Linked DNA regions of Mus musculus: regions 1, 3, 4, 5 and 6 are each reported to be linked to region 2. Evidence: microRNA targets listed by miRTarBase, many of them from high-throughput screens and not tested one by one. Region 2 holds a microRNA gene; each other region holds the end of a gene's coding sequence.

Evidence for each region. The annotated mature microRNA mmu-miR-511-3p reads AAUGUGUAGCAAAAGACAGGAU and lies in region 2 at 2,108-2,129, shown strand. An mRNA with a match to its seed (bases 2 to 7 or 8) in the 3' UTR can be bound and repressed. Matches are read on the target gene's strand: a 7mer-m8 pairs with bases 2 to 8, a 7mer-A1 pairs with bases 2 to 7 and ends in A, and an 8mer does both.
Region 1: miRTarBase lists Mrgpre as a target of mmu-miR-511-3p. Seed matches in the 3' UTR shown: 8mer at 2,745-2,752 and 8mer at 1,975-1,982.
Region 3: the mRNA of St18 is a reported target of mmu-miR-511-3p. Seed matches in the 3' UTR shown: 7mer-A1 at 2,831-2,837, 7mer-A1 at 2,801-2,807, 7mer-A1 at 2,748-2,754 and 7mer-m8 at 2,507-2,513.
Region 4: the mRNA of Rassf5 is a reported target of mmu-miR-511-3p. Seed matches in the 3' UTR shown: 8mer at 3,028-3,035.
Region 5: miRTarBase lists Sema6a as a target of mmu-miR-511-3p. Seed matches in the 3' UTR shown: 8mer at 3,024-3,031.
Region 6: miRTarBase lists Klf8 as a target of mmu-miR-511-3p. Seed matches in the 3' UTR shown: 8mer at 3,917-3,924.

The regions. Positions count from the first base shown.
Region 1 is chr7:143,777,405-143,782,718 of GRCm38, forward strand. It overlaps Mrgpre (MAS-related GPR, member E), which reads right to left. Exons shown (of 2, transcript NM_175534.3): 2 at 959-4,409. The coding sequence starts at 4,360. The coding sequence ends at 3,428. Among named protein-coding and RNA genes, the nearest start is that of Mrgpre, 4.4 kb to the right of the region's middle.
Region 2 is chr2:14,258,944-14,264,351 of GRCm38, forward strand. Mir511 (microRNA 511) reads left to right here and starts at 2,060; the gene lies at 2,060-2,138. Mrc1 (mannose receptor, C type 1) reads left to right here. Exons shown (of 30, transcript NM_008625.2): 6 at 2,246-2,392.
Region 3 is chr1:6,857,200-6,862,607 of GRCm38, reverse strand. It overlaps St18 (suppression of tumorigenicity 18), which reads right to left. Exons shown (of 22, transcript NM_173868.2): 21 at 5,165-5,308; 22 at 1,668-4,148. The coding sequence ends at 4,008. Among named protein-coding and RNA genes, the nearest start is that of St18, 130 kb to the right of the region's middle.
Region 4 is chr1:131,174,303-131,179,710 of GRCm38, reverse strand. It overlaps Rassf5 (Ras association (RalGDS/AF-6) domain family member 5), which reads left to right. Exons shown (of 6, transcript NM_018750.4): 6 at 1,034-3,301. The coding sequence ends at 1,186. It also overlaps a transcript of Eif2d not described here. Among named protein-coding and RNA genes, the nearest start is that of Eif2d, 24 kb to the right of the region's middle.
Region 5 is chr18:47,245,007-47,250,340 of GRCm38, forward strand. It overlaps Sema6a (sema domain, transmembrane domain (TM), and cytoplasmic domain, (semaphorin) 6A), which reads right to left. Exons shown (of 19, transcript NM_018744.2): 19 at 248-4,578. The coding sequence ends at 3,377. Among named protein-coding and RNA genes, the nearest start is that of Sema6a, 120 kb to the right of the region's middle.
Region 6 is chrX:153,391,803-153,397,210 of GRCm38, reverse strand. Klf8 (Kruppel-like factor 8) reads right to left here. Exons shown (of 8, transcript NM_001357183.1): 8 at 1-4,524. The coding sequence ends at 4,343. Among named protein-coding and RNA genes, the nearest start is that of Klf8, 35 kb to the right of the region's middle.

The DNA.
Region 1 (5,314 bases), not on the chromosome of region 2:
TGAGCTAGCAAGGCCCTTGCAGGTCTTGGTAGAAACATTGTTTTTTATTAGCCTGCCACAGGGTGGGGTAGGCAGTCGGGTATTATTTCAGGCTATGTCTCTCTGCTCACTCTATGTTCTTATCAACATAGGCTGGGCTCCTTTGTGTCCCTGTGGGCCGTGGGAGGGACCAGGCTTACAGTGGTTCCTAAGAATGTCTGGCTGACCCAGTGATGACACCACAAAAACAATGTCCTGTTTCCTGAGAAATCTGTACTCCAGAGCAGCCCCTGTGTTCCCAGATTCTGAGGTGGGTGGGCCATGATGGATGCTAGCCCTGCTAGTTCTCCTAGCCCCTGGGCTTCTCAAGGCCTGGCTTTGCCAGGAAGGGTTAGTTGCAGAACCTGGCTTTGAGGTCACACTAGGTGGAAGTGGTGTTTGAGATGGCTGGGGGTCCTTTGTGGGACTTTTGTTGCTCTGAGGGCAGAAGGAGAGATGTGGTTAGAATGGGGGCTGGCTGCAAAGACAGGATGGTCTCTTGGACAACAGGAAGAAGACTGAGCAGGCAGACCTGAGCCTAGAGAACAACCAACAAGTCCAGGTTATTGGGACAACACACACACACACACACACACACACACACCATAGAAGTGATAGAGATGGTGGAGTGGGCTGTTTCCATGGCAATTTCAGAGAAGGATGCATATCTTGGAGATCTTTGGGAAGAGTTTTCTATGCATGGAGTCCAGTGGAGAAGAAGTTTGAAGTATCCCAAACCCATTTGGGAAATAAGGTATATTCTGAGGGTCCATGATCTAACTGTACCTCAGGGTGGCTAAGGGGCTTGAGTAGGTGAGAGACATGGACACCCAGGGTAGGCTATGGTACTCCAGACAGTCTTGGCCCAACAAGGCAGATGAATGGTATATGCACTAGTTTGCTTTCTGTTGCTGTGATAAACGCCATGACAAAAAACAGCTTGAGGAGGAAAAGCTTTATTTGGCTTACACTTCCAGGTCACCGTCCATCACTGAGGGCAGTCAGGGCAGAAACTCAAGCAGGAGTAAAGGCAGGAAGCAAGGAGGAAAGCCACCTACTGACTTGCCCCTGGGCTGATGCTTAGCTAGCTTTTTATATAGCTCAGGTCCATTTGCCTACGGGTGGTTCTGCTCACAGTGGAGTGAGCTCTCCCACATGTATTAGCAGTCAGGACAGTGCACACAGGCCAACCTGACCCAAACAGTTCCCTAGCTGAGACTCCCTCAGATAACTCTGGACTATGCCCTGTCAACAGCTGAAGCTAGCTAGGAGAGGAGTAGAAGGTCTGTGCCATGTCCCGGGTTGTCTCGAGCAGACACGGGCTTCTCTGAGCCTCAAAGACTCTGGGCTAGTGCCCAGTTGGGGAGACACCTGTAAGGCTGGCATGGGCTTTCCCCCATGAAGAAGTGGGTGTCCAGAGGCCAAAATTGGACTTGTGGACAGGCTACTTCCCTTCGTGCTCTCAGTTCCCCAAGCTGAGGAACTGAAGTTGGGAATCCTGTCCTGGAGGCAGACAGATAGCCACATCGGCTCCTAAGCTCCAGTGTGGAGGAGGGAAGGCCTTTGTGGGGGATACAAAGAACTCCTTTGGAAGAGGAAGACCAGCACTCCCAAGCTCCTAGCTTCCTGGGGTCCCTGCATGTAGATAGACTTGCCAGAGAATTTGAGATGAAGGCACCATACCACAGGATGCATCCCAACACAACCTGCGTGGGGTGGGGGCAGTGAGTTGCCAATTCCGGGATGCCAGGCAGGGTTCTTCTGTCCGTGTCCAGACTTAGGAGCAAGTTTAGTCATGACAGAGATCAAATGTCCCTCCATCTGTGGGCCTGGTCCAAGTCAGTATTACACCCACACAGATGTCAAAGGAGACCAGCATGTCACGAATGTGGATCTGGAGGGTTGATGATGTAATAAAATCCTCTTGGGACTTGCTGGACACAACAACACTGTGCGTATGTGTAATCAATTGACTATTCAGTGAGGAAGTAGAAAGGTAAGGGCTGAGTTAGGACTATGATACATGGATGATGGTAAGTCCTTTCAGGACTGGTGGGCTCCCAAGCCCTGGTTCTCGGCCACCTGTGACTGGATTGGGGGGTGGTCCCCTTCATTTCTGTGCTCCTGGCTAGGCAGGAGCTCAGGCACCTGTGGTGGCCTGCAACCAGGCTGCTTCCTCAGAGAACCCCTGCTAGGTGGGTAGGTCCTATCCCGAAAAGAGGATAAGGTAGGAACTGTCCTGGTGCTGAAGCCCTGGGCTCTCTCCTGCTAGGTAGAGGTGCTTTGGATATGGACAGCGACAGGAGGGGGCTTGCTGCCCATGCAGAGGACCTCACTTTGAAATTCAGACTCAGGAGCCACCAGTTTTTCTGAAACATTGGATGAGGTTTATATCCTCCAGTGGTCTCTCTCCTCAACACAGTTCCCTCTGGGCTTGGTTTCCTGAGATGATGAGTCCTCTAAAGCATAATCTGACCTTGAATTCTATTCTCTCTCTCTCTCTCTCTCTCTCTCTCTCTCTCTGTGTGTGTGTGTGTGTGTGTGTGTGTGTGTGTGTGTGGTGTGTGTGTGTGTGTGTGTGTGTGTGTGTGTGGTGTGTGTGTGTGTGTGTGTGTGTGTGCGCGCGCGCGCGTGTGCGCGTGCGCGTATTTGGAGTCACACACATGTATGTATGTATGTATGCATGCATGCATGCATGCATGTATGTATGTATGTATGTATGTATGTATGTGTACCACATGCATGCAGTGTCTGCAGAAGCCAAAAGACGGAGACAGATCCCCTGGAACTAGAGTTACAGATAAATCCCAGTCTGGGGCTACAATCCTGCCCCAGTCTCTCAAGTAGCTGGGATGACAGGCCTGTGCCAGCATTGCCTTCTGGCAGTGATGTGAGGTCAGGAGGATGCCTTCTGCCACTTAGGACTTCCAAGTTCAGCCGCTGAGAACTTCCAAGCCACTTATTTCCCCATACCTAACTGAATGTCCAGTTTCAGTGTCATTTATCCCTCACTAAAGGAAGGAGCATTGGGCACCGAGAAAAGTCACTGCACACTCTAGCTAGGAGGATGCTAGTGGTAGAAGAACAGTTGCCCCCCACCAGGACTAGCTTGTCTCATGCCTGCTCTGTCCCCTCACTGTAGCCATGTGGGGAGGGAGGGTGTCCATGGAAGCAGCTGTTATGAGGTGGTCCAGGAGCTCTGCCTAACACACACAACCCCAGGCCCTCCACAGAAGCATCACTCTCTGCTTGCCCCTTCCCAGAATCCTCCCAGGGGACACAGCACTGGGTCATCAGCAAAGATGTCCCTCAAGAGTCTTACTGATGGAGCTCTGATCCCAGCTTTACCTACATCAGGCAGCTCCCCTGGACCCCCATGGGCTGAAGCTGCAGTTGTGACCCACTGTGCTTAGACAGTCATGTCCACAAGTCCCCCTTGGGAAGCCTCTCTCCCAGCTCCCAGCTCAGCCTCATCTCCAAGTGCCCGCTGGAGCACCAGCCGGAGGGGTTCCCGAAACCTCTGGCCAGGTGTGCTGCCCAAGAAAAAGTAGATGGCAGGCTTGGCTGCACTGTGCACACTGGCCATGAAGAAGCTGAAATGATAGAAGTAGAGGGGGATGTGCCAGGACAGGTTCTTGGACAGCCAGAAGATGCCAAAGGGCAGGCCGCAGAAGAGGAAGAGCAGGACGGCCAGCAGGACCAGGGTGGGGAAGCCCCGAGGCTGGTGTCTCTCTGGACCACGCTCCACCCGCAGCAGCAGGAGCAGGCTGGTCACACACATGGTGCAGCACAGGGCAGCCAGGAGAACTGCCACCACCAGCCACAGCATGTCACACAGGTGGTAGCTGGGTGCTCCAAAGAACTGGGTGCAGGCGCCGCTCAGCAGCAGGTCCAGTAGCAGGCAGAGCACCCAGATGAGCGCACACACACAGGTGGTCAGGTAGCGTGGGCGGCGGCACAGGTACCAGGCAGGGAAGAGAGTGGCCAGGCACTGCTCCGTGCTGATGGCCGCCAGGAGGCTCAGGCCCACAATGTAGCAGAAGAACCGCAGCATGGTCAGGCTGATATGTACAAATTCAGGGAAGTTCAGCTGGTCCTGCAGCAGCTCAGGGATGATGGCCACCATGTGGCAGCAGAGGAAGATGAGGTCGGCGCAGGCCACATCCAAGAGATAGATGGAGAAGGGGTTCCTGTAGACATTTTGGTTGAGCAGCCAGAGGGCCACTCCATTGCCCAGCAGCCCGCCCAGGCTGAGGAGCTCTGTGAGGGACAGGATGGTCAGGTTGAAAGCCATTTCTCCCTGGGTGCTGGGAGAATCTGTGTGCACGCTCAGGGACGTCATGGCTGATGTCTGCAGAAGTCTGTGTTGCGTTTTCTCTCTCCGGACACCCCTGAAAAAATAATGACACCGGCTCAGGGGCCTGACCCTGCTCCTGTCCACTTCTGAGGTAGCCAGGTAGCCAGGGAGTAGTAGGTGACAGAAATGGTGACAGCCCCTGGAGGAGGTGCACACCTTTCATTCTGTCTCATCACCTTACCTAACCTGCCTCTCCAAGGTGTAAGATAGAAAGGTTTCTGTCAGTTGTTCAAAGAGCCCCGTTCCAGGAGCTCATACTGTGTGCTCTGTGCTTTCCCTAAAGGGTCTGGATGATCTGGAACATGGGAAGAGAAAGAGGAACTAAGACCTGTAGCTCCCTTTGTACGGAGGACATAGGAGCTGGAAGGATAACTCTAAAGGCCCCCTTGTGTTTGCCATCAGCATAAAACTCTCTCAACTCTTCTAGGCCTTTCTGGAACATTCCATGAGGGTGTGTTGCCAGGAGGCTCTGGACCCTCTAGCTGGACACCATACATCATAGGCAATGTAGGCCCAGCAATCTCTCTCTCCTTTGCTGTGGGTCCACAGCCAGACAGAACTCCAACCCTTTAGGGACTAGGGAGGCCTCTCATTTGTCCCTTTCCTTCCTTGAGGGGAAAGAGGCAGTTGTTTGAAGGTGATGCTGAGCAGAGTCCTCACCTCCTGCCTTCTTTGCCTGAGGAAGTGGCTCACTAATGCTAGAGGGTGGGGCTGGAGAGTCAGTACAAACCTGACTTAACATAGCTGGGCAGCGCCATTGAGGCAGCTAAACTCCATACATACCTCACTAGAGACCCAGACCTCAGAAGGGCACCCACATCCTACCAGCATGGTTCCCTGTCCCACACATCAGCTGGGGTCCCCTGTCTTATCCCAGCACCTGTGGCCATCTGTCCCCATCACTGTCTTCCACTTTTCTTTGTGCTTTGGAGAGATAGG
Region 2 (5,408 bases):
CTTTTAAGATGAAAAAGATAAAATAGTATTTTAAAAAGTGTTTAAACAAGGGAGAGAATTTTAGAGACTCAACATTTAGGGTTATGTGTTTATTTAAGTTAATTAGGCTTCAGAAATCTCAGGGAAAGAGCACTCATTTGGCATGCACAAAATTTTGGGCCCAGTGAACAGTGTTGCAAAAAAATATATGTTGGTACTGATTATATTTCACCATGAAATTCCACTCAACATGTTCGCTCACTGCCTGATGAGCATAGGGCTGTTATGTGAATTGTTTTGTACTAGAAATCATGACCGGTTAATCTACTTCGGAGCTATCTCCAGCCCCATGACTTGAGTCTTGAAATGATAATCTGTTTTATTTTCTTCTGAAATATGGGAAGTAACTGAAAGTGCATATGAATATAGATGCCCTTTCTTCATAAGATGATATTGTCTGCTGCTCTTGGGCTCAAGGGAGGTTAGAGAATTGCAGCGGGACTCAGAAGCTTCAGACAGTGGTGATTATATGGTAGGGGACTACAGTCCATTCTTGTCTTTAGTAGTTAAAAGTACTCCACGTCATAAAATAGTTCATTTTCTCTATTATTCACTTGGGTACAACCCCTTGTGGTCTTAGATCTCACTGAAAAAAACCCTGGGTATTAACTTTAGAAAAGGTGTAATAGGAATGGAAAATGCCTTACATGTTTCCAGAAAATAGATTCAACACTAACCTTCTTAAATAATGTGAGAATTTTATGAAATTAAAATAAGAATATTTAAACTATTTTTGTATAAATTACTTAGTTGATTGTTTCATTAAACGTTTACTAAGTGATTCATGTTCTAAAACACATATGGAGTGCAATCAAGAATACTTTATGTGAATGATGAAGAAATATAAATTCAACTATATAATAGTCACCAGATTAGTAAAGACCTCCAACTGCTATCTCAAGGTCGGTAGAGGTGTTGTATTGATAAATGAATATATAATATGATTTACCAAAGAGCACAGTATTTAAGACCAGTATGTATTAAATGTGATATTGTTTCTTGAAAGTTTTTTTCCACAATGATACAGAATCTTGGCCATATTATCAGAAGATTAAAAAAAAACATCTTTATATGTATTTTGGGGGTTTTTACTTTGTGTAGTATTTATACAACCTGGAAAATGTTTGTGTTAAAGACTTCCAAGGGCTGGTGACATGATTTCCTTTTTCTGAGGAAAGTGAAATTTTGGTGCATAATGAACATCCACCAAAGGTCACAAATTAGCTGTGTGTGTAGCTAATTTGTCAGACTTAGGTATGAGATGAAGTTACTTTCTGGGAAACTGGGGTTGAAATGATAAATCAGAGACTGTAGGGATTGGTTACCCTTGTAGTAGACAAATGACTCATCTGAGAATGTAGGGATGGACACATGTATCTATAGCAGTAAATAAATGACACATCAGAGGATATAGGGATGGATTCATGTATCCATTATAGTAGACAAATGATACATTAGAGGATGTAGATGGATGCATGTATGCATTGCAGTAGACAAATCATACATTGGAGGATATAGTGATAGATGTATGTATCCACTGTAGTAGGAGGATGTATTGATAGACTGTAGTGATAGGGTCATATATCCAAAGGTGTCAACCCAGTCAGGTATTTTTAACCAGCTTCCTGTAAGAAATGAATGAGGAGATAGCTCCAAAGGTTTTTCTTCAATGAATCCAACAAAATGTGCTAAGAATCTTAGTTCTGGGAGTGTAGGACATTGGTTTCCAGATCTGTTTCACTGTGTTTATCCCTTGCATTTTCTTCTCTTCAGTTAGCTTCAAGTAGTTTTGAGCGTTACTATTGACATTAATATAGCCATCTTGGGACAGTGTACATTATTTTTATTCAGCCATTCTATATATGATACCATATATAGATACATGATATCATATATCATCACAGTTGTTTAAAGTTTAAGGTCTAATGCTATCCATTGTTCTAGGTGGTTATTTCAAACCACTCTGCTGTGAACTCAACATTTTAAGCCTTGGAATAAGCCAGCAACAAGTAACCAAATAGATACCCACCATGCCTTTTGCTCTGCACTCAGTAAATAATAATTTGTGAATGTGTAGCAAAAGACAGGATGGGGATCCATTAAATCCCAAGGATGACGACGTAAGGTGTGGTGGTTGGCAGAGGATGGAAGCCATCCACTTAGGAGACTGTGGTATTCCCAATTTAACTTTGTAATTTGCTTAAAGGAAGTCCATCATCAGAGCCTGGAAAGAGCTGTGTGTCACTAAACCCTGGAAAAAATGCCAAGTGGGAAAATCTGGAATGTGTTCAGAAGCTTGGCTACATTTGTAAAAAGGGAAACAATACCTTGAACCCATTTATCATTCCCTCAGGTAAGAGGATCTCTATGATCTAATGTGTACTCAATCAAAACTGAATGACATGATTCTAGAGAGATTATTAATTATTTACAGATTAATAACATGATATGTCTTCAAAAGTCCATTTCTTTGGTCCTACTGTCTGGTAATGTTTCCTGAACATATAGGATGGAACATAGGGCCCCCAGTGTAGGAGCTAAAGAAAGTACCCAAGGAGCTGAAGGGGTCTGCAACCCTATAGGTGGAACAACAATATGAACTAACCAGTACCCCCCCGGAGCTCATGTCTCTAGCTGCATATGTAGCAGAAGATGGCCTAGTCGGCCATCAGTGGAAAGAGAGGCCCCTAGGTCTTGCAAACTCTATATGCCCCAGTACAGGGGAACGCCAGGGCCAAGAAGTGGGAGTGGGTGGGTAGGGGAGCAGGGCAGGGGGAGGGTATAGGGAACTTTCGGGATAGCATTTGAAATGTAAATAAAGAAGATATCTAATAATAAAAAAAAAGAATTTTATATCTCCAGTCTTGTAAAGTAGGTATTATTTCTCCTATTACATGTTATAGGAAAGGAAAGAGAAATTCATAGGATATATAGTCTCTGTATACCCAACAAAACTGGAATTAAGACTAGGAAGTAAATATCTGGAGGGAAAGACTTTATTTAGTGATCACTGGTAGATGTGTATGGGGACTTTGGTACATTATCCATGATGGATGTAAATTAGATCCCTGGTTCATAATCTCTGATGGACATGATAGAGAGCCCTGGTTTATGAATTCTTATGGCTATGGGTGGAGGCCCCTGGTTCATGGTCTCAGTTCTACTTTACAGATTTTCTAGAGTGATTGTGCATGAACTTGTGGAGACCTCAATTGTTCTTGCAACTTGTCTCTTCTATTACTATTGCAAAAGGAATGGCTAAGTCTTTCTTGAAAGAATTCATATAGTTCTCTTTCAGAGACCTGCAGCAGTTACCACTTTGGGGAACTAGAGAAAAGTTATTTTTAAGTTTCTCTGGAATGAAAGGCACAATTCTATAATTTGGCCTTATTGCTTAATCCACCAGTTTTAAGTTCCTTGTTTGTAAAATATGAATGTTAGTAACTCTTCTTCTTTAAAATCTCGTTATATCATCAAGCTTGTATTGTTAAATCCACTATTGCCCCTGATTCACTTGTGCAGCTACACTAGCATTGGCCTTTGCATTGTTATCCTGACAAGATTATTCTGCTGTGCAGACAAACCCCTCTAAGTAGAGATTTAAATTTGTAGCATTTTTTCCAGTGCGATGGCACACACCTTTAATCCTAGCATGTAGGAGGCAGAGACATGCGAATCTCTGAGTTCAAGGCTGGGCTAGTCTGCAGAATAAGTTCCAGCTCCCCTTCTTGGAGCCCCTGCACCTGTTAAAAAGTTGCTGCATTCCCGGTTGGTGGCCCCTCTTGGCAAGCATCCAGTCTTGTACCCTTCAGTCCTTGCCATAGTCCCTGTGTGTCCGTAGTTCCCCCAGCTCCAGAGCCATAATATGCATCTTTGTGGCTACTAACCATAGGTCTTTGGTTGAATGAAACATGTCTAGTGTGAACTGAGATTTGCTGCCCATGTAAAATACATGTTGGATTTCCAAAACTTTAGCATGGGAATAAATGGAAAATCTTGTTTTAGTTGATCACGTATCAAAATGATAATAGTTTGGATATACCGAATGTACTTTTTTTCTATCTACTACAGCTAGTAGCAAATCTAAAATGATGCCTGTGGCTTACATTGCTAGCTACACTGTGGACAGTGATGGTCCCCTTCAAAAACAAAGAATCTTTTGTGCTTTTGTGTCCCAAGCCTCTCCCTTTGTTTCATTTGTGTTGGTTATTTTCTGTTTTCATACTTTGTGTTTTCCTCTGCTGGGCATTGATCATAGGACCTCGTGCATGATAGACAAACATTCTGCCACAGGGCTAGAGCCACAGCAGATGACAAGCATTCTGCCACAGGGCTAGAGCCACAGAAGATGTGTTTTTAAATGCTTCTCAGGCTCATCAGTTTCCTAGAAAGAAAAATTAAACATCCCACAGAAGGGATCTAGACTATGCTAACCTTTCTGTTTCTCTCCTTCCCTTCCCTTACCTCCCCTCCACTCTCTTCTTTCCTCTTCTCCCCTTCCCTCTCTTCCCCTCTCCTCCCATCCTCTCCTCCTCCCTCCACCCCCTCTTCCCATCTCATCCCAACTCCCTTCCTCTCTTCTTTCCTCTTCTCCCCACCTCTCCTTTTCCCTCCCCTCCTCTCACCTCTCCTCCTCTCTCCTCTTCTCCTTTCTACTCTTTTCCTCTCCACTCCTCCCCTTCCCTCTTCTCTTTTCTCTCCCCCCCTCCCTCCCTCCCTCCCTCCCTCCCTTCCTTCCTTCCTTCCTTCCAATTTTTTTTGGCAACTCATGAAAGTATTAAGAATTGAAATTGTACTAAGGAATGAAATTTTGTTTTACAACACTTCAGCTTAGGATGATGCAAATTAGAACTTTTGCCTCTGCACAAAGAGGCAAAAAAAAAAAAAAATTGCCTCTGCACAAAGAGGCCTTAGGCAATCTTTGCTCTTAAGGAGAAATGGGATTCAAGGACAAAGAGCCAGCTGTGAGAATGTGCACCTGTCATCTCAGCAGCTGAGAGTCTGAAGCAGGAAAAACATGAGTTCAAGGCCATCCTTACTAGGCTACTCCCTGAGACCCTGTCTTACCTTTCTGCCCACCCACATGAGAAGGTGACCAAAGGGACCAGTATCAGGCATTAAGTGAAGCAGCACATTTGTGATCACTTAAATATATAAACTAAGCCAATAGCATAGTTTATGTAAAATGGTATTTGTAAAGCAGCAAAAGGAAGCCACTATGTGTTGGATATAGCACCATTCTCTTTTCTAACCAACACTCAGTGCATTTATTGTGTGTCAGGGCCCATGCCAGATTCAAGGACATCCTGGGAAGAAGAGAGTATCTCTCCCTTCAGAGACTTTCATTTTAACTCCCCATAGTTCGTTAC
Region 3 (5,408 bases), not on the chromosome of region 2:
TATACAAAGCATCTCTGACTGCGAATGACAGTGTGGACAGTTATTAGCAAGTTCAATCTGCTTACTGTATGTCACCTGCTGGATAGCTGAAGGAAACAGAAGGCACTACTTGCAGGCCACAATGAAGTGGGTGGAATGTGTGGAAAGACACATCCAAAACATTAGTAGTGAAATCCTTATGTGCTAGAACAAGGCAATTTCTCAATTCATCTGTCCTGCTCTTTTCATACAGGACTTTGGATCCAGATGAAGCATGCCGGAGTTCTAAATACCTCAAGATTTTATTTTATTTTACTTTTTGATGGAATGGTAATAGACAGAAAATGATGACAGAAAAAGTTCTTATCAATTTCACATCCTATTACAATTGAAATACACTGAATATAGTTGTATTGCTTTACTGCAAGAAATATTTGAATTGCTAAACAAATCAACTCCACCCTCTGATTGTTAAATCTCTTCAAGGAAGGTGGCAGGCATGGAAGATGAGGCTTTAGAAATATGCTGTAGCAACTCCACTATCAAACTACACCTAACCTTGAAATTCAGTCTTTCTTTGCAAAGCAAAGGCTGCTACTGAGAATTTGAACCACGAGGTATGGAGTTTTACACTGAATCTTCAACCCACTTTCCTGAGCTTTCTATCTCCAGTCATCTGGATTCCTTTTGTACTTTCTTTGTTATTCATGGGTATTTTCCCTTCACACTCCATACTTGCGGTTCCTCTGCCTGCCATGTCGTTTACCAGTGTCTCGACCAATCTGGAACTCACACTTTTCCAGGAAATACAAGGTGGATAGCAAACCTTCTTGCTGTTTCTACAGGAGAAATTGTATATTTACATGTCATAATACCTGTCATTTGCCTCATGTCCTCACTGAATTCAAGACCTCAGGAAGTTTGTTCTGATTAGAAATATGTGATGGGAAAGGGCAGATCTTGCTAAGTCCCAGTAGAATTGATACAATTCTATGACAAATTTGTATCATGAACTGTAGATACAACTTTCTCATAGACAGCAAAAACCAAGGTAGGATGTAAAACATACTAAATTAAGTAGACACTAAGATACTGGCTGAGCAGCTCGCATCGCTTTCCCAGAACACATATGAGCATTTCGTGTAAGCTTAGTGACTGAAAGTACGTGGTGCTCCCTGAAAGCAAACCTAATTTAAGCCCAGCTCCCGCTTTGATCCAGACTTCTCTTTAGTTAATTTGAGTAAATTTTACATTGCCTATGAGGAACAATCATATTTAAGAGATGTGTAAGTCTGGCTAGAAACTCAAAAGTAGAGAATACTGATGACTTAGGAAAACAAAAGCAGGTAGCCTAGAATTATCACATTTTTTGAACCTACCTTGCATAAATGTAAGCTATATTCAGGACCTCCAGCAGTTTGGTATCAGGAAAGGACTCCTTGTGTGCTATTCATTAGATCTGGGCAAAATTCTTTCTAGTTCTAGCAAAGGCAAAGGCAAACCCCATTTTGGAGATATGTTCTACACCAAGGTGTTAACCAATCAAGATGTTAACCAACCAAGAATCCTCTCAACCAAGGGTAAAAGTGTTCAGAAGGAATTGTTCTGTGTTAGAGGTTTTCTACCATATCAGGAGCTGTGGGTCATGGGGTTGGTGACATCTGTCTTGATAAAGTAAATATCATGGCCAAATTCATTATCAATTTTTATTTCCTACCATACACCAAATGCACAGCACTGAACACAATTTTGTTGCAATGATGTAAGAAATATTAATCATTTGGAGAAACAGTATACAAACAAACTACTTCAAATAAAAACGCATACATCACTGCCTTTGTTTTTGTTTACAAAATACCCAATTTACAGTATCAATCATTAACATAGTTGAAAAGAAAATAATTCAGTGCATGTTATAAAACACAAGTACGAGGAGGCAAATAAATACAGATACACTTCATAAAACTATATGAACACAAATAAATTAACTGAAGCCATGTAAATTATAGTAATAAATACATAGGATTGCAGGAGATCTCTTTAAATAAAATATATAACAAACTTGTTAAAATATTTAGCAAAGTAAACTTCTGTCTTTGTAATAAGTGAGCCCATTTGTGTGCTTCTTTGAAGTATTGTGTAGCAAAATGTTCAAAGACATACTTTAATAGGAAACTTTGTGTCCCATTTATAGTAGACACTACTCGCAGTAGCTGCTTATTTTAAAATTGAGCTTTAAATAAACACCTTTCCTACCTAAGAACAGACATCTCATTTTCACTAAACTAAGATTCAAGAGTTCAAATGAACCCCAAGCCAAAGATAAGCGCCACGTGATGCATAACAATATCCACGGTTCCACGAGAGTGGAGTGACTATACCACTTCTCATGTATCAGAGCATGTAACAGTAGTAACAGTGAATTCAAGCCTGTGAATGCCATCACACTAAATCTAAATATTCATGAGGCTAATAAAAAATAAACACTTTTATTATAGCACAGAAAATTAAGCCCACACTAAAGTTCATGTGTACTTTTACATAGAGGCACATCTGCACATGAAATGTGTGTGCACACCAAAAAGGCAGTTTAGCTGGTTGTCTATACCTTTTCCTTAAAAAAAATAAATATAAAAAAACTTTTGAAACAATGCTTAACTACTTTACAGTCCCTGAAATAGACATTGCCTTTACTACAGCAACTTCTAAACTCTGATCCAGTTGAGATTGCAGGTTGAATTTCACGTGTGGATGAGTGTGAGTGCATATATGTGTGTAGACTGTGCTGTTGTGTGTGTGTGTGTGTGTGTGCATGTGTCTGTATGTGTGTGTATGTGCATGTGTGTACATGTATGTGTGTGTGTGTAACATCCTTTGTGTCACTTGAAGTTCAAGAGTTTTATCAAATTGAAACTGCCTTATTTATTAGGGAAGCAAAGACCAATGCTGCCAATATTCAAGGTAACCACTTAGCTTGGAATAGCATTTTTTTTTTCAGGCCTTCTGTTTTGCATTCTATTCCAGTCAACCCAGTAAGATAAATGCTATTTCAGGGGATACGGTATCTACACAATTTCCATTTGGATGTGTCTGTAGTTGTAAGTACAAATCTACACCAACATTGTCACTTGTATATTGTACTAACGTGTAGCAGGAAAAGCCAAGCTGGTCCCATCAAAGCTTATTTCTCATTTTGGGAAAGGGTTGCCAACTAGCCAATATGACTTGAAAAACAAGAAGACAAATCTGATTCACTTAAAATGTATGCTTTAAGCAGTCTAAATAAATAATTCATATTAATTAAATCTCTGCAGCCATGTGGAATACTATGCTGACTATTTTATTTAATTATTGCTATCAAGTTCTGAGTGCGCTGTTTGCTAACATCCTGTGCTTTTGTGAGTGTGGATTTCCCACTAGTGGGCGCCATTTATCTTCATAATCCTTCACAGCTCACATTACCAAAAGCCATTTATAAAAACAAAACCAGTAAAGGAGAAATGGAAGTGCACAGTAGAAACCAAGCTTGACCACAGTGTAGTCCTGACATCAGGATTTCCTTCATACATTTCTTTTGTTTTGTTTTTCTCATTTAAATCCAGAAAGATATGTGATTTGAGAACAGCATTTCTATTTAAATCCTATTAGAAGATAAATTAATAAACACACCTGTAAAAATATAGTAGACTTCAAAATGCAGTTAAAAGATAAAAAACTCTTTGATTAGTAATAAATAAAATATAAAATGTCACATTTATTTTTACATATACTTTACAAAATAAAGAGTGCAATGAAGAAAGAAAAGAAAAAGATATGAAAATAAACGAGTTTAATAATTGACTGCATTGCTTTTAATCCAAAGAGTTTATCATAGTTTTTCTTTCCTTTTTATGTCAGCTGGGGAAAAATTAGTGCAATGTTGCAATTATAAACACAGGGACAGCCTCTGGGCTCCAGGGGTATTAGGCCCCTGCAGATTTGTGGGAGTTCATGGCCGTAGTGACCTCTGTTTCCTGCATACTGTCGTTCTACACATGGATGCCCTTCACCGCCTGCTTGATGCTTTCCAGTAGAGCTTTGCATTCTGGGGAATAGTCCTGTTCCAGATTGCTGTACATGTCTGTGAGAGTATTTACATATGCTTCAAAATTCTGCTCATTGATAGGCCCCTGATGGAGACACAAGGAAACCAATCACAGAGGTTCAGCTGCCCCAAGGAAGATCAGGAGATAGTGACAAATGTTGCCAACTTATATAAGTAGGAAAAGAAGGGTTTATAGGACTGTGGCAGTTTGGGATAGGACAGAAAATGTGTGTGTGTGTGTGTGTGTGTGTGTGTGTGTGTGTGTGTACTATCTGTATACTCTTAACTCATGGCATTAATGGAATGCAATTGAATAGTATTGGGGATCAATCTGGAACCACATAATAAATGCTGAGCTAGAGGTGTCCAAACTATATGTCTTTTCTTGGGAAGAGTCTGGGTCTCATTTGCACTTTTCAGTATAAAACCAGCTGTCTGTGGAAAGTATGCTAGGAGGATGAAGCTTTTGCCAAGTGGTTCTTTAACAGTCCTATGTTGGAATGGCAGGGATTGTACTGAGCTGAGGAAATTAACAGCATCACCAATATAGCTCCCAGCAATGCATCTCCAACTCCAAAGACTGATTTACATTTGTGAAAATGTAGAATAAACTTTTTGTGAATTCTAAATAGTTGCATACTTATGAATAAGGGGTAAGGGATAAGAGATAAGGGATAGGAATAGGAATACGGATGCCTTGGTCACACACATGCATTCTATGTTCCATGAAAAGAAGTTGAATATTACAATGAGATTATTGGGAGTGTTATAGTTCATGAGTTGAGTAGATGATGCTGAGGGATGTATAGAATCAACTGTTTGAAAACATATTTACAGTGAGTGAGCTCTGGCATCCAGCTTTCAAATAACTTTATAAGATAGCTTTAAGTAAACCTTCATCCTTAAAGAGTCCTGGCCTTTTGGAATGCCACTGGCCTTGAATTATCTGAATATGCATATCTACCGTGTTCTTAGATTGCGAAAGCATTAAGCATGAAAATGAATCAGGGGTAGGTGACTGTCAATAGTTCAGCCACAGGGTAATGGAACAAAGACATTGAGGTAGATGATGGGGTAGCAGAGCCTTGCTCTTGGTCTTACCATCTGTGGAAGTTGGATGTCAGCAAGGCTGGAGATGAGAGCCTGGCTAAGCCCTGCCAGCTCCTTCAGCAGACTCTCATTGCTCTGTTCTATAAGCTTGTTCTCCTCCTCTATGGTCTTCAAGTTGCTCTCCATAGATGTTATCTACAGCAGAGGTAATGACATAAGAAGCAGAGTTAGAGGCCTTTAAAAGGTCTCTGGGGGAAACCTGAAGCTAGATGTAAGTGCCAAGGGATGCCTCCAT
Region 4 (5,408 bases), not on the chromosome of region 2:
CTTTCTCCCAGCGGAGGCTTCAGCCTGACCAGCTAGAGCCAACTGAGAGGTGTGCAGAGTATGCTCGGTATACTGGTTCATGAGAAGGTGGGCAGCAGGGTGGAGCTTGAAACCTGACGTCACACAGCTCATGAGAGGTGTCCTCCACCTGCCTCTGGGGAGCACGTCCAGCCCCAAAGTGAAGACCTCAGCTGCAGCTGCTCTTCTATAAACACAGGTGTATCCTCAGCTGCGGCTGCTCTTCTATAAGCACAGGTGTATCCTCAGCTGCTGCTGCTCTTCTATAAGCACAGGTGTATCCTCAGCTGCGGCTGCTCTTCTATAAGCACAGGTGTATCCTCAGCTGCGGCTGCTCTTCTATAAGCACAGGTGTATCCTCAGCTGCGGCTGCTCTTCTATAAGCACAGGTGTATCCTCAGCTGCTGCTGCTCTTCTATAAGCACAGGTGTATCCTCAGCTGCGGCTGCTCTTCTATAAGCACAGGTGTATCCTCAGCTGCGGCTGCTCTTCTATAAGCACAGGTGTATCCTCAGCTGCTGCTGCTCTTCTATAAGCACAGGTGTATCCTCAGCTGCAGCTGCTCTTCTATAAGCACAGGTGTATCCTCAGCTGCGGCTGCTCTTCTATAAGCACAGGTGTATCCTCAGCTGCTGCTGCTCTTCTATAAGCACAGGTGTATCCTCAGCTGCGGCTGCTCTTCTATAAGCACAGGTGTATCCTCAGCTGCAGCTGCTCTTCTATAAGCATAGGTGTATCCTCAGCTGCTGCTGCTCTTCTATAAGCACAGGTGTATCCTCAGTTGCAGCTGCTCTTCTATAAGCACAGGTGTATAGGCTGGGAACTCCAGGAGATTCCGGGACATGACCATTTGTGGCTGATGTGACCATTGTGTACGGTACACAAATGTCATTCGTGATACCCGCCCCTTCAGCTGAAAAGTGTACTTGGCTGGCTCACTGTGGAGCAACAGCAGAGCCCTGAGACATGTCAACTTCTAACCATTTTCACTTGTTTTCTCCTCCTCCTCTCATAGTGGGATGCCTTTTCCATTCCTGAACTCCAGAACTTTTTAACTATCCTGGAAAAAGAGGAGCAGGACAAGATCCATCAACTGCAAAAGAAGTACAACAAATTCCGTCAGAAACTGGAAGAGGCATTACGAGAGTCCCAAGGGAAGCCGGGGTAACCAGCCGACTTCCTGTCCTCTCAGTGCCCTCCAATTTATTTTATTGTTAATTATTTTGCAACAAAGAGTTACTGTTAAGACACCTCTGGTGGTTCCACCAGTGCCTGCCCAGCAGTTAACAGATGTGGCACAAAGTCTCTTCCACGCAGTGTCTATGCAGGGTTCGATTCCTGCTAACCCACCACACCATGGCTCTGGAGAGCTTCCGCCTGGGATCAGAACTCCTGTGGAATGACCAGTGTTTCCCTGCTCAGTCTGCTGGCCTCTCAGAAACCAAATAGTTGCCTCTCTGGTCACCAAACTCCAATCAATCACCAGCCGGCAAAAGGAAAGAAAGGTTTCAGAGCCTGTGTGTTCTTTCTCTGGATTTACTCTTCAGTTCCTCTTTTGGTTTGTTTGGTTGGTTTTTTTTGGCCACGTATAGTATATTTAAGGATCAAATGTGGCATATTCATTCTAGCTAAGTCCTTGAAAGCAGGAAAATGCTCATGAAAGGACTGTCCTTGCCCCAAGGTGCCTCTTCTTCTCTAGTACTAGACACTCAGGGTCAGCCTGAGATTTCAAGAGGCTACAGCCTGACCAGGCCGTCTCTTATTACCCAGCAGGCTGTGTGCATGCAAACCCAAAGACATATATGCACATCTGTGTGGTATTTCAGCATGTCTCTGTCCAATGTTTGATATGTTAACATTTGAATTTAATGCTGTCCTCCTTATGGGTTTCTACCAAAGAGAAACCAGCCACTTATCAATTTTAGTTTCTTGCTGAGCTGCCAGAAAGTATTACAGAGAAGCACATCCAAGCTGTCTGTGGCCTACGCCTGCAGGGGGTGGGGGGCCTGAATCTCCTTGGCCTTCAGTTCCACCTCCACCTCTGGCTTTAGGGTCTCCAGCTGTTGCCTGAGTAGTAGCTTTGATTACAGTGGTAAAGTCCTCCAACTTGGAGTCCTTTCTGGTGGGAAGCATGGTCTGCTCGCAGCACAGCACTGAGCAGACCCGTGGGCCTGACTTCCCTGGTGACTTCAGTGCCTTTTTGTTTGCAGAGAAAAGAGTGGGGCACTTTGCTTGAAGCTCTCTGCTGGCTTGCCCCTGGCAGGAAGTGGACAATGGTGCTATAGAGCCAAGGACACAGCCTCAGAGCACAGGGTGATTGATGATCAGCCTCTTTCCCATCAAGCTTCCCGGTCAGGCTTTGACTTTGAAGATGCGAGGTTACTAGACTGCATTGACAGCATCAGATTATGACTCCAACTCTTGAGTAGTTCAGACTTAAAACCAATCAGCCAGAGTAGCCAGGACTGCAAAGACACTCAATACAGATGGAGAAAAACTTGTCCCTTTAAAAGAGGGCCAGTGTTTCAATTGAGCCTCCAGAGGAGACCACTTTCATGTTGTGCTTGCCTTTCCATACCCTTTCCTCGGGTTGTTTTAAGCCCAAGCTTCTCCGTGTAGCCTAAAAAGTTCCCTACCAGCCCAGGCTGAAGCCACACTGCTCCCGTCCCAGAAGAACGCCAAATCCTTGTCATTCAAACTGTGCATCGTTTGCAGAGCTGCAAAAAGCAACATGAGCTAGCGACTCTGAGGTTGTGCACGCCATCAGCCCCTTGGCTGCCTGAGGTCTCATGCCCAGCCTTACACCTCTCTCCCTTAAGAAGCCCCCGTCCTGCTGTGTACTACAGGGGCACGTGGAAAGTCATTCCCTTCATCCTGCATGTCTGTAGCGTTAGGAGAAGGCATGGCTCCTGCTGCAAACACTGTGAATGCTGCTGAGAACGTCCCCCCATGGATGGCTTTTTATTTTTGACAAGAAAAAAAAATTCATGTATTATATATATATGTATATACACATAGAGGCATATAGCTATATATACAGAAAGGCGTTTATTCAGAAAATGATGGTAAGATTCAGACTTTAAAGCACAGTTAGACCCAGGACCTGTACTGAGGGTTGAGCCTCTGGAAAGCATGGAGTTCCTGACGTCTCAGAGGAGTCTAACTGCTGGTAGTGCCTTCTATGGTTGTATTATTGCTCTGTATGTGTTCTTTTCAGGATATTTTCTTTCTAAATGTCTTTCTATGTTTTTTAATGAGTAATAAAAGCTTACTGTAAAAACAAGTCACGATGGAATCGTCCTTGCTGAACGTCAACATCTTCTGGAAAGTGGGCTGGAGAGAGGAAGACTGAGGCAACTGCAGGTACATTTCTAGACAGAGCCAAGCTTTCTTCTCCAGTAAGCTAGAGAATGAAGGCTACCATTCAAACGCTTTTGAGAAAATTGTCCACACAGTAGAGGGTACTGCTTCTGGCTGCCTCTTCTCCATCTCTGCGGTGCTGGACGGGGAGGGGACTTACAGCTTTCTAGATACAGAGGTAAGCAGCACTTGTCCTTGGAATTATCTACAATGATGATGTGAGTGTGGGTCACTGATGACTTCAACTGCAGAGGGCTGGACTGGTCCGAAAGCAGCCTGCATTTTGGCCCCGCTGATTTCCAGCACGGAAATCTTTTAAATTCAAGAAACAGCCACATAAAGTTAACTAGGGAAATCACCACCTACCTTCCAGTGCTGCTCATGTATCACGCATGCATGGGCTCTCCAACTTACTCAGTTCTGCCTCTCTTCACCAGGCATCCTTAAAATTAGTCAATCACAGGGCGGGTGAGGGAGCTCAGTGGGTAAAAGGTGCTCACTGCCACGCCTGTGGATCTGAGTTTGATCTCTTGGGACTATACAGTGAAAGGAGAGAGCTCGCTCCCACAGGTTTTCTGCTGACCTCTTCATGCATGCTATGGCAAATGTGCACCATGTGTATATACACAGTGTGTGTGTGTGTGTGTGTGTGTGTGTGTGTGTGTGTTTGGTATAGCCCTAGCTGTCCCAACACTTACTATGTAGACCAAGCTGCCCTCACATCAGAAATTTACCTGCCTCTGCCTCCCATGTGGTGAGATTAAAGGTAGCTACCATTATAAAGGTATCTGGCTTAGACCGTAACTTTTTAAAGGATTAGCCCACATCCAACTTCTGCCTAGCCTGGTCCTGCACATCTTGTACTAGGGTCAGCCAGGGGGATCTGCCTGGCCCCCTACTACATGCATCATGCCCAATCCCCAGATCTACCCCAGTCCCACATCCACTGAACCAGCCCAGCTTGGTCATTCCTGACATACAGCCTCCACCCACCCACCAGGCTTTGGCCCACCTGCCCAGACTTAGTGCCTATCATCTTGGCTCCATCTTCTTACACAAAAACTAATACCAAGTAGAAAATGTGAAACCTGAAACTGCTGGAAGAAACATAGGCTGGCTCCTGCAGATACAGGTACAGAGAAAGGACTTCCTGCATAAGAAACTAAGGCAACCAGCTAAGGAAATCAAGTGAAGAGGAAGCCGACAGAATCTTTGCCCAATCCCCTGGCAAGCTACACATTGAATAGAGAAGTAAAATCCAGAATAAAAAAATCAAAAACCAGAAAGTTAAAAAAAAAAACCCATTTTTAAAAACTGGGCTAAGGTGCCGGGTGTGGTGGCGCACGCCTTTAATCACAGCACTCAGGAGGCAGAGGCAGGTGGATTTCTGAGTTCGAGGCCAGCCTGGTCTACAAACAGAGTGAGTTCCAGGACAGCCAGGGCTACACAGAGAAACCCTGTCTCAGAAAAAAAGAAAAAAAAGGGGGGGGGGTAAGGAACTAACGAGGTTTCTCAAAAAAGAAAACAAAAATGGCTAATAAATACAAAGAGAACTCCTTCCAGTCTGACTCTGCTTCACCCTCTTACACATCTCCAGGCCACTCACAGCGGGGAGAGGAAGGTGATTCAGTGCTGATGTAGAAACTGCCCAGCACGAGCCTGGACAGACACAGGCACAGCAGAGGGCCACTGAACCACAGTGAAGAGCAAGCCCTTCACAGATTTTGCATCTCAAGCAGGGAGCAGAACTTACACAGCACGGCCCCTCCAAGAGCACGCAAAACAGGAGAGGGCAGTGAGACGGGAGAGGGCAGCACAGTGCTTGACAAGGGACACCTGTCATTCCTGCTCCCTCGCTGCTCCTCAGGCGCAGATGCCCTGTGCAAAGGCCTGGCTGTAGCAGGGTCCTGCTAGAGTGAGCTCCTGCAGGGCACTTACACGTTCCACATGTGCATGTCCACGTAGACAGAATTCGTGAGATTAAGGCGTTCACTTCTCAGTGAAAAGGACTGTTCTTGATTTCAGAGCAA
Region 5 (5,334 bases), not on the chromosome of region 2:
TCAATAAGTTGGGTGGAGGGGGCAGGGCGAGGAGGCTGCAAACAAATACGTCTAACTATATGGTTATTTATGAGGAAACGAGAGAGAGAGAGAGAGAGAGAGAGAGAGAGAGAGAGAGAGAGAGAGAGAGAGAGAGAGAGAGAGAAAGAGAGAAGGAAGAGAATCCTATCCTGAGAGGGGGTGGGCAGGAGAGTGGCTAAAGAATGAAAACTAAAGACATAAACAAAAGCATTCAGGACACAAAAGATAACGTAGAACAGTCTGATTTTATTACTCTTAAGTAATAGAGCCATATCCCTTGATTTTTCCGCTCTTCCCCCTTTCTTTTTCATCCTCTCTCTCCTTTTCTTTTAAACTACATACATTAAACTGTGAATCAGATGTTAGGATGTGTGGAGACGGAAGGAAAATTGGTGACATCACAATATTTTTACAACTTTACAACCAATGTAAGTCTGCGTTTGTTGCATCGACACTGTCTAGCCAGGGTGGAAAGCGAAGGCACGCTCAGGTTCATGGGCAATCTCCTCCCTACCCCCGAATGCAAGGTCAGGGCAGAAAGGGAGAGGGACAGGGAAAAGCAGAAGACCAGCTCAATACATGTGGGACACCGAAAGGAGCGGGGTGTGGGGTGTAGGAATGTGGGTTTTGACATGGGTCTCCGTAACACAACTGAGGCAATGATGCCCATTAACATGGGCATGAGGTTGGGGTAATACTCTTGGGAGTCAAAAGGGAGGAGAGGGTATGGGGTGGCTGACAGGCACCTTCCTTTTCATTTTTGTATTTGTGAAGAAAAGGAAATAGAGAAGACACCATCTGTTTCTAGAAAAGCCTTTCTGGCTTCAGGGTGCAATGGTTACAGACCATGAACAATGACTCCTCTAAAGAGCAAAACAAAACCAGTGATATCTTATGTATCTCAAACAACAGTCTAGCTGGTCCGAGGCAAGTCTTGGAACAAAGGGCTATACACCTGTTCTCGGCTGTACACCGTGGGCTCTGCAGGACTGCTCGGACGGCGGGTGCAACATAGAAATTTTAAATAACCAATTCGAATTTGTTCTTGCCAATCTTTTTTTTTCTGAAAGTTTTATTATTATTATTATTGTTGTTTTATTTTAAAGACAAAACAAAACCTAGATCAAACTGGAAAAAGAAAAGAGACCAAGAGACCACCAAATAAACTGTTTATATGGAAACAGTGCTCACGGATTACAGTGTGCAGACAATTCTTTTGTTCATGATAGAGTAAACAAAGGTGCCTTCTGTGTGCTTTAGCAAATGAAAACCAAGGGAGGGGAAAAACAAAAAAAGCAAAAAACAAAACCACACACTACCCCTCCCAACCCTCTACAAACAACAAACAGATAAAAGAATTAAAAAAAAAAAAACAGAAACAAATAAACAAAAAAATACTTTTGCCCCAGAAATGGATTTTTCAGCATCCATTGTCGTTAGTTTGTACTTTGGGGTACCCATTAATCACAGCAGGGACCAGCCTGCCTGGTCTATTTTCTGGTTGATTCTCTGTGTATCGCCTGGGTGTGCTGAAGGCACAGCTCGGAGACGCCTCCCAGTTGCCTCCCTAACCACCGCAGCAAGATTCTCCAGTCAGTGAACACAGTCCTTTCTCGGCTGGCTCAGGAAGATGTCACCAAATTGAAATGATCTGGGAATATAAGGGAAAGGGGTTTTTTCCACCCACAACACTGGAGGTCCATGCTCTGCAGCATGGCCAAAGGGTGGCTGGCGTTGGCACAAGGGAAGGCAGGGAGAACTGAAGGGTATCACCCAGCCTTCAGCATTACAACCATCGCTACCGTGTCTGTTCCATTTGCTTGTCTCCAGTCTTCCAGAGGGCTGAATGGAGGGCAGGGTTTAAATAAATATCTGCCTTTATTTCAAGTAGGAAAAGAAAGTTGATCATAACGACAGTTTACAAGTGTATACAACTCAGAGTGTAAGGCACAAATTTACATGTGGAAAACAGGCTATTCACAGATGTAACCTCATGAAACACCCGTGTGATCAAATCATTAATTTATGCAAGGTAGCAGCCAGCATATTAATTAGTTCACACAGTTTGTGGATCTTTGTTTTGCTGTCTCACATGCAAGGTGAAATGAGATGGTGGGGGTCGGGGATCGGGGGTAGGGGGTAGGGGCAGGTTTCACAAGCTAATGCCTTCCTGATGGTGGGGTCCTCAGACAAAGCCATGTTTACGGCAATGGGGCTTAGGCACCATTCTAAACATTTCTGTCCTGGCTGGAAGTTAGACTCTGGAAGGATTTTTAAACATTTTTTTTTCCTCTTGGCGAGAAACCCAACTGACAAATTAACTAGATTTAAATAAATATTCCTTCCTAGCACTGTCCTTTAGCTACTGATCCGATAGTCCAAACACAAAGCTCAGAATTCCAGCTCCAAATTATTTACTCAGTGAATTTATTGTAAAAATAAAGAAACTCAATTATTCCAGTTAATGGATTTCACGTTAAATAGTTTAACTTTCCACGGGCTTCCGCAGAGCTGTTCATGTGGTGGCATTTGGAAGAGTCTTTTCCTTGAGGAAAAAGAAAAGGGGTGGACAATAAATAAGAGTTACTTGCGTTAACGGTCACGTTATTCATTAAAAGCGAAGAGGAGCAGAAATCTATGACATCGTTGCCCAACATGGCATTTACCTGCTATAACAAAGCTGTAACACTGGTGGGCATTTCACAGTATCTGCGCATAGTAAACTTCTGCCATTGTTAAAGTCTGAGTTAGAATTATCAATGAATCCTTTATTATTTTTTTTTAATTTTCATGATTTTTTTTAAAAAAAAAATGGTTGTGTGTGTGTGTGTGTTTTAAAGTTTCTGATGCTTAGCCAAGTTTGGTAACGTCCTGTATAGTCAGGGACAAAATGTGGTTGTCGTTTACCATTGCGTGTGTGGTGTGGTGTGATGTGGTGTGGTGTGGTGTGGTGTGGTGTGGTGTGGTGTGGTATGGTGTGTGTGTGTGTGTGTGTGTGTGTGTATGTGTATGTAGTGCACGAATGTGACTGTGGCCTGTGTTCATGTGAGGATGGGGTGGAGATGTGCTTTTGGCTCATGTTTGTGATGATACTGAAGTCTTTCGTGAGTCCGACCTGCTGTATGACGTGGATGTGAAGGAAGAGAACGCAGAGGTGGATTGCTAAACCTTCACCAGACCACACGGCCCAATTTTGAAGAGTATCCCTATGTCCCAGGGAGGAGGACCCAGCGTCCTCAGCTCCTCCAGGGCCATCTTGGTCGGGTGGATACTCGAGGCAATGGAGACCTTGCTCAGCTGGGTGGGTGCCTCGCCTCATCGGATGCTTCAACTCCTGGCCCCCCAACCCCTGGGATTATGTACATGCATCATTGGGCTTCATGGATGTGGAAAGGGGAGCAAAGGAAGGTTTGGGGGGTACATCTGGCTTTAGCGAGGGGGTGCGCTTCAGCCCCGACCTCGTCAGTGAGTTGTAGGCATTGAGGCTGGGCTGCCTCGAAACAGTCACGGCCTGGCCAGAGGGCTGGGAGCTGTGCACCTGGATAGAGTCCACCCGCTGCGGGGCGGGGGGTGGGTTGTCTCCCCGGCCAAAGCTCTGGTTCCTGGAGAGGTGGGAGGAATTGGAGGAGTTAGTATTGTTTCTTTTGAGAGTGGTGGTCTGGTGGCTTCTTGTGAGCGAGTTCGTGGGGTAGCTCCTCTTATATTCGAGCCCATAGGAGGAGGAGTGTTGCATCTCCAGCCTCTTGCTCAGGCCGGTCTGTGACAGTGAGGTTCCCGGGGGACCTAGGGAGGCCTCGCGCTGTGGAACTTTAGGGGGCAGGCTGTCCAGGTTCTCCACAAGGTTCACCCCATGGTTGGGACTCTTGCTACTCAGGTGCTCTTTGATGGTCTTATACTCCAGGGTGGCAGCCTGGTCCTCCAGTGCCATCTGAGCCACCACCTCGCTCATTTTGGGCTGATCTACGTACTCGTGCTGGTAGCCCTGCTGCGTGATGGGCAGGACCACCACGCTGGGGATGTGGCTTGGGGAGGCCCGGAGGGGCAGGTCCGTGGGAATCACAGGGGAACCCATGGGAGGCATGTCCTTGGTGCAGGCATTGATGATGTTCTGGTTCCTCTCCCACTCGCGACTGCCGCGGTTGGGTTTCCGTTTCTGCTGCAGTGTCGGGGTGGACTCTGGGGTGGGCAGGGCGGTGAGGTCTAGGTGATGCTGGTCAGCCTTGATGAGCATCTTGGCGGTGTTGCTAGGCGTGGCCAGCTTGCCGTTGTGCATGAGTGGTGTGAGGATGGCCTCAGGCTTTGGGTCCTTGGACTGGGTGTCCCCAAAGAGGCCACTGAGCTTGGTGACACTGCTCATAGATCCCCGACGCGAGTGAGTGAGCTCTTTCTCCTTGCGCTGCACTACTGCCACGTCTTTGCGCCGGTGATCGCACACACAATACACGATGATGCCCGAGAAGACGGCCCCCATGACAAAAGCCAGAATGACTGCAATGGCCAGGAGGGTGACAGGAACAAGCTGGTCGTTGCTTTTGAGGTAACTTTCCCGAATCACTCCTGGAATAGAGATCGCACATGGCATTAAGAAACGAACCACACACTGGGTGTGTGTGTGGGGGGTGTTCTGGTGTTTGGCAATCACACTGTTAATTAATAACAGTAATAAGTGATGATAGCACCTCTGCATAGCTCATCTTCAGGGCACAGCTTGCCAAACATTAACTAATTAATCCTCCCTGCCCCCACCCCACCCCAGCCAGCCCTGGGATGTGTATGTAAATCGATTTTATTTGTTGCCTTCTTTTGTGGCTGTCCTCTCTGGTACATATTTTTTCAACTTCTTTCTAAGGACGATGGCTGGCAGGGTCAAATTTTATTTATCTGTCTTTTCCTTTTGATCTTTCCCACCTTCTATAGAATTAGAATAAATGAGCTATTTGGAGGAAGTGGCAACAATTTTATGCATGTTAATCGAACAAATCACACAACAATCCAGGGCTTTCCACTCAGTCTTTTCTTGATGACTGCCTTCTGACAAGGAGACCTCTGTCTGGAGAAAGGCATGTTTGCTTTTGAATCTACACGAGGATAGAGGGGGTTTATGTCACCACAATGAAAAATAGCCGAAGCTCACAGGTTACAGCATTTACATTTATTTTGCATGGAAAAAGGAAAACCCACACTCAATTTCAGGTAAATATGCATCAGAAGTGAGAGAATATTTAAATCAGGGCCCCGTTATGGGCTTGTAACATGTCAGGTCCCATTATTACTCTCAGGGCTTGCTGTCACCATGAAAGTCCTCAGCAGAGC
Region 6 (5,408 bases), not on the chromosome of region 2:
TAGTATTAATATGGATTTTAAAAAATAATAAATGGCAGAAGATGAGCTATTGTTCTTCCAGATAGAATGGAAAGATATGCAGATAACTAAGGACTGAAGACAATGATATAAACTTATATAAATCATCATAAAGATGATTATATATGGAAGTGTTTACAAGCATTTGTATATATAAAACTTAATATATGCATGTATTTCTTTGTTCTAGTGACTGAGAACTTGAAGAAATATCTGCAAAGTAGCAAACATATATAGTACCTACACCTTGGTTATAATTCTTCAGTAAAAGGGATTACAACTTATTGACAAAATGCCTGATTATAGAATTGTCCTCCATAAAACAAAAGCAAGATGTGTCTGGAACATCTTGCAACACCAAAAATTACTCACTTACTGAAAACAAAAAACAATAATGGGGGTATGCAAACAAGACTTCATGATCAATTCAAAAAAAAGCTCCTAACAGTTAAAGTTACAATTTGAGCAACAAAATAAAAGTTGCATTGAATTATAAGATAATCTATAAAATAAATATCAATGAGTCCATGTTGACAAAAATAAACATATAAGTAAATAAATAAGAGAGGAGGCAAAGCTCCCAATGCAGAAAAATTCCAAAATATTTGAACACTTGCTCTCAAGGACATAGTACCTAACTCACCATTTCTGTATATGTGGGCTGAGCACAGTAAGTTCCCTCCAAAGACTGCAGTATGATGATAGGAAAAAGGGTATAGGGGAGAAATCTCAGACACTATCTTAGTCATGTGACTAAGGATAATATGAAGAATGATAAGTCATAGAAAGATGATGTTATGAAAATAGTAACTCACTTGTGTGGTTGTTTGGACCCAAATCCATTGGGTTCATTAAGGTAGGGTTTAGTTTAGTTTAGTTTAGTTTAGTTTAGTTTAGTTTTCTGAGACAGGGTTTTCCTCTGTGTAGCCCTGGCTGTCCTGGAACTCACTCTGTAGACCAGAGATCCACTTGCCTTTGCCTCCCAAGTGCTGGGATTAAAAGGAAAGTGTTTGCCACCATGCCTAGCTTTCATTGACCTCGTTTTTTTTTTTTTTAATGAGAAAATTTTCATGAGAAGAATATAAAATACACCCCAACTGAAAAACATACTCCAAGGTCCTTGAGAACAAAGAACTCCAAGAAGCTATCACAACGAGGAGAATAAGGAGCTGTTATTATTAATACAATGTTGTATTTTGAAGGCGGTATTAAAACAGAAAAAAAGAACAGCAGATAAAAGCCAAGGTAGTCTGACGAAAGCATTGATTGTAGTTAATATTAATGTATCGGTATAATTTCACTAATTGTAACAAGTATACCAAACAAATATATAATGTAGAGTCAGCAGGAACTCTGTTCTACCTTCACATTTTCCTGAAAATCTCAAAAAAAGAGTTCCAACATGTAAAGTTTATTTAAAAAGAAATTCTCTTTACAAACATTCGTGGGTTTGTACATAATGAACTCCACTAATCCATCAAACCAGTTTACATTTCTTACACTTTACAATGGCAATTACCAACAATTATGTTCAGCTGCCAGATGTCTACAGAGGGAGAAACTTCACTACAATAAACTCCTGAATATTATCCATCCAGACACAATTTCCATATCCTAGGCAAATGTCATCCTAACAGTCTTTGGCTGTTGTAAGCCCATTACACTTAGTTAAACCTCAGATGTTAACCAAGAGAAGTGGAATGGTTTCCTTTATATCCCACTATGTAGCAAACGTATGTGCTTTTGGTGCAGTAATTCTGCACTGTACTGTTTGAGTTCATTTACTCTGCGAAGTTCTCTTAATCATGACACATTTGTAAAGACTATGCTTGTAACTGGAAAGATTTTTGCCATTTGGGAACAAAAAGAGCAAAGAGAATATGGTTAGAATTGGTTCTTGGCTAAAGACAATGGACAAAGCATTTGCAAAGTCTATTAAGACTCTGCAGAAACATACTTGAATAAAGGCTCAGAGATGCTAGGAACATCAGTATCTGGGATCCTCAGCTGATCACCCTTATGAGTACTATAATTTCATAGTGCTCATTAATAAACATATGTCTCAATATCCTGAAGTCTAAGGGGCACATGCCAATTCCAATCTCTGGAAAACAAATTTAGGATCCAAAGTGGAACAGAAGTACATAACCCTTTGGACTCTGTTCTATAGTATTGTACCAACTACTCAATTATAAGCTTAAGCCCATATATGGTAGGAATATACATTTTTCAATCTGTTTTACATTGTGGTCCCCATTAGTAGACTAGCCCTAGATATTGATTAGTGCTTAGTAATTAGTATACAGCCTGGAACTTGTACACCCAGAGTCAGGACAGATCCCTTACCAAAGCAGTAACAGTAAAACCTACATGCCACGTTGAAAAGTACAAGTAGGCCTTAACTTATGGAGAATTTATGCTCTGCAAAGACATTGAAACTTGAAACAAGGTAAATTAAAACAAATCTAGAATTATCAAAAAATGTGACTTGAAACACTGTGTGCCTGGTGTTAAGTGGTCATGACCATAAGCACACCCTACTTACTTTGTCACCAAATATACATGAATTTAAAGTTTTCTGAAGTGTAACATAAAATTGGACAAATATTGCAACCAATCACATAACTTCTTTTTCTTTAATTTGGTTTACTAGTGTGATCCCTGGGAGACGGTGTATACAGGTCTGTAAGGCCTCAAGGAATTATCTGGAGAAAGAATCTGACCCGTATTTGCCTCATCTGTAAAACGTGAGGGATGGGTAGAAGTAGACAGGACCCCTTCTGGATGGTAGAATTCTAGGCTTTAGTTAGAAAGTACAGCCACAGGAGGTAGTAACCTAAATTGTTCAAGCCAGAACATTTTGAATATCTGCCAAGAAATAAAGGTTTCATATGAAGAAAACCTTTAGGCGAGAGGCTGTGTCCAATCCTACTAATACAAAGCCCCTCTCCTTTTTCCCCAGGAGAGGAAATATGCCACGAAGAGGTAGATATGAGGTCCAGGGCCAGGAACAGAAGGTTTTATGCCCCAGAGAATATTATGAACAGTCTGATTGGGCAACCAAATGTATATTAAGCATCTTGTTGTTATATCTAAATAAAATAAATGGCTTGGGTATTAATAGAAGTTGTAAAACATCCAAAAAAATGCTTTCTATATGTCAGTGTCAGAAAGAAAACCTCTTCCATCCCATTAGAAAGAGAAGAACAAATGCCCAAAATGGCATGAAGTAAACAAAATTCCTTTAGTGCAACCCCTCACCTCTCTATAACGTGCTCAGTGTGCAATTTCTCATCAGGTAATACGCTGAATGGTTGCCTTATGTAAACAAAAGAATCAACAGTACAGTGGAGCCCATCGAAAGTGATGTTTCAACAGGCTGCCCTCTGAACGAGGCTTGGGATTAACAGCAGTTCTAACACCTTATCCAAGTAATTGTTCACAGGGTGCTCCCAGGTCTGCTCTTGCCTGTCACTGCCCACGTATTTTCCTAGAATACTTCTCCCTACTGATCTATCTTTCTGTGCTTTGAATATTTGTCCAAACTTAACCTAAAAAGAATGGAATTGTGCCATAAAACCTTTTATTCTAAAGGAGCATGAGGAGGAAAAGGAGGTCAAGGAATCCCTTCATTGCTCTTGATGAACTTCAAAAGGAGGGCTGGCACTGCCTGTAAACCAAACTGTTAAGAACAAGTAAAACTGGATCTACAAAACCTTCACGGTTAGCATGAGACTCTGTATTTCAGACTCAATTCTATGTAAATTTGATCAACCAACTCTACTGTTATGCCCCTTGTAGCTACAACTTTGAAAAAAAACCCTCATTTTAGGACATTGCTAAGTGATATTAAGTACTGGTTACAGTATATATATATATATATATATACATACACATATATGTGTATATATATATACACACATGTGAATAAAATCTTTAGAAAACAAGAGAAACCAGGGGGGAGGGGAGAGCAGCGGATGTTTGTTCACAGCCTTGAGTTTGATTCCTGTTTTGTTTGTTATTGTAGGAAAAATGTCTATAATGTAGCATGAGGGATCAGGGAGGGCAGCCATGGGCGCCGCACTGAATTCAACCCAGGAAGAGGTTGCAAAAACTGAAGTCTGGACAGTGAAGAGGTGAAAGTGGAATATGAAGAGCCGCATGGGAGACCAGCTAACTTGTTTTCCAGTCTCATTAACCTGGCTCAGTAGGCTGTTCGGACCCCAATCATGGGGGCAAGTTGTAGTCAAAGAGGCAAACGTAGTTACAACTTCAGCACACACTCAGGAGGCCATTGCAGCGTGCCTGCTGTGGCCTGTGATATTCACATGGTGTCATGACGCCGGCGGTGGAGGGACAAGTGGTCAGATCGAGAAAAACTGCGGTTGCAGTCTGTGCACCGGAATGGCTTGATGCCCGTGTGCTTACGGAAATGGCGAGTAAGCTCATCCGAGCGAGCAAATTTCCAGGAACAGCCATCCCAGGTGCACTTGTAAGGCTTCTCTCCTGCAGGAAAAACATGATGATATTGAAGGTAATCAGAAAAACAGCAGAAATACATTATTAAATGTATTAAAGTAAGACAGTCGCCTTGAAGAAGTACGTGTTATTCACCTTTTAAATTAATTAGTTTGACAAATGAACATCATATTGCACGTCTTCTAGTTTCATGATTTGTACACACTATGGGACTGGTTAAATACAGTTAACTAGCATATGTATTATTTCACATATTGTTTTTGTTTGTTTGTTTTGTTTTTGTGGTAAAAAACTTTTAAAACGCCTCTACATACTGCTGCTTGAAGTTCTGAAGTTAGGCTGAAGACAGTGTAGAACACAGTGAAGAACACAGGCTCTCAAAGAGTTATTGAATTCTGCTCGAATTCTACCTTTACCACGCTAACCGTATATTAAGTAATCGCTTTCCCCTGGCCAAGTCAATTTCTCAACACTACTAAATCAAGGTAAAAATATCTCAAAAGGTTGTTCAAAGCATTTTAAAAGGGAGACAGTAGTGGCCAGAGGCGGGAGGAACAGTGCAAGTTTAAGGTCAGGCTAGTCTACATAGTGAGTTCCAGGCTATGCAACTATAGTAAGGCATTGTCTCAAAAAGGAGTAGGAAAAAACCTCAAACAAAAGGAAACCTAGATTGTTAGTAAACAGTACAATCTGAACAATATTCATTACATTTCCCATTTCTGGAACCAAATGCCTGGAAAGACACATTAGGGAAAAAAGGACTTATTTTGGCTCACAGTTTGAGGAATGAATATAGTCCATTATGGCAAAGTAGACAAGGTGATGAGAGGCTCCATTAAGTCAGGAGCTTGACTCACATCTCTATAGATCAAGAAGCAGAAAGAGGATAGAAAGTATGCATGGGCTATAAG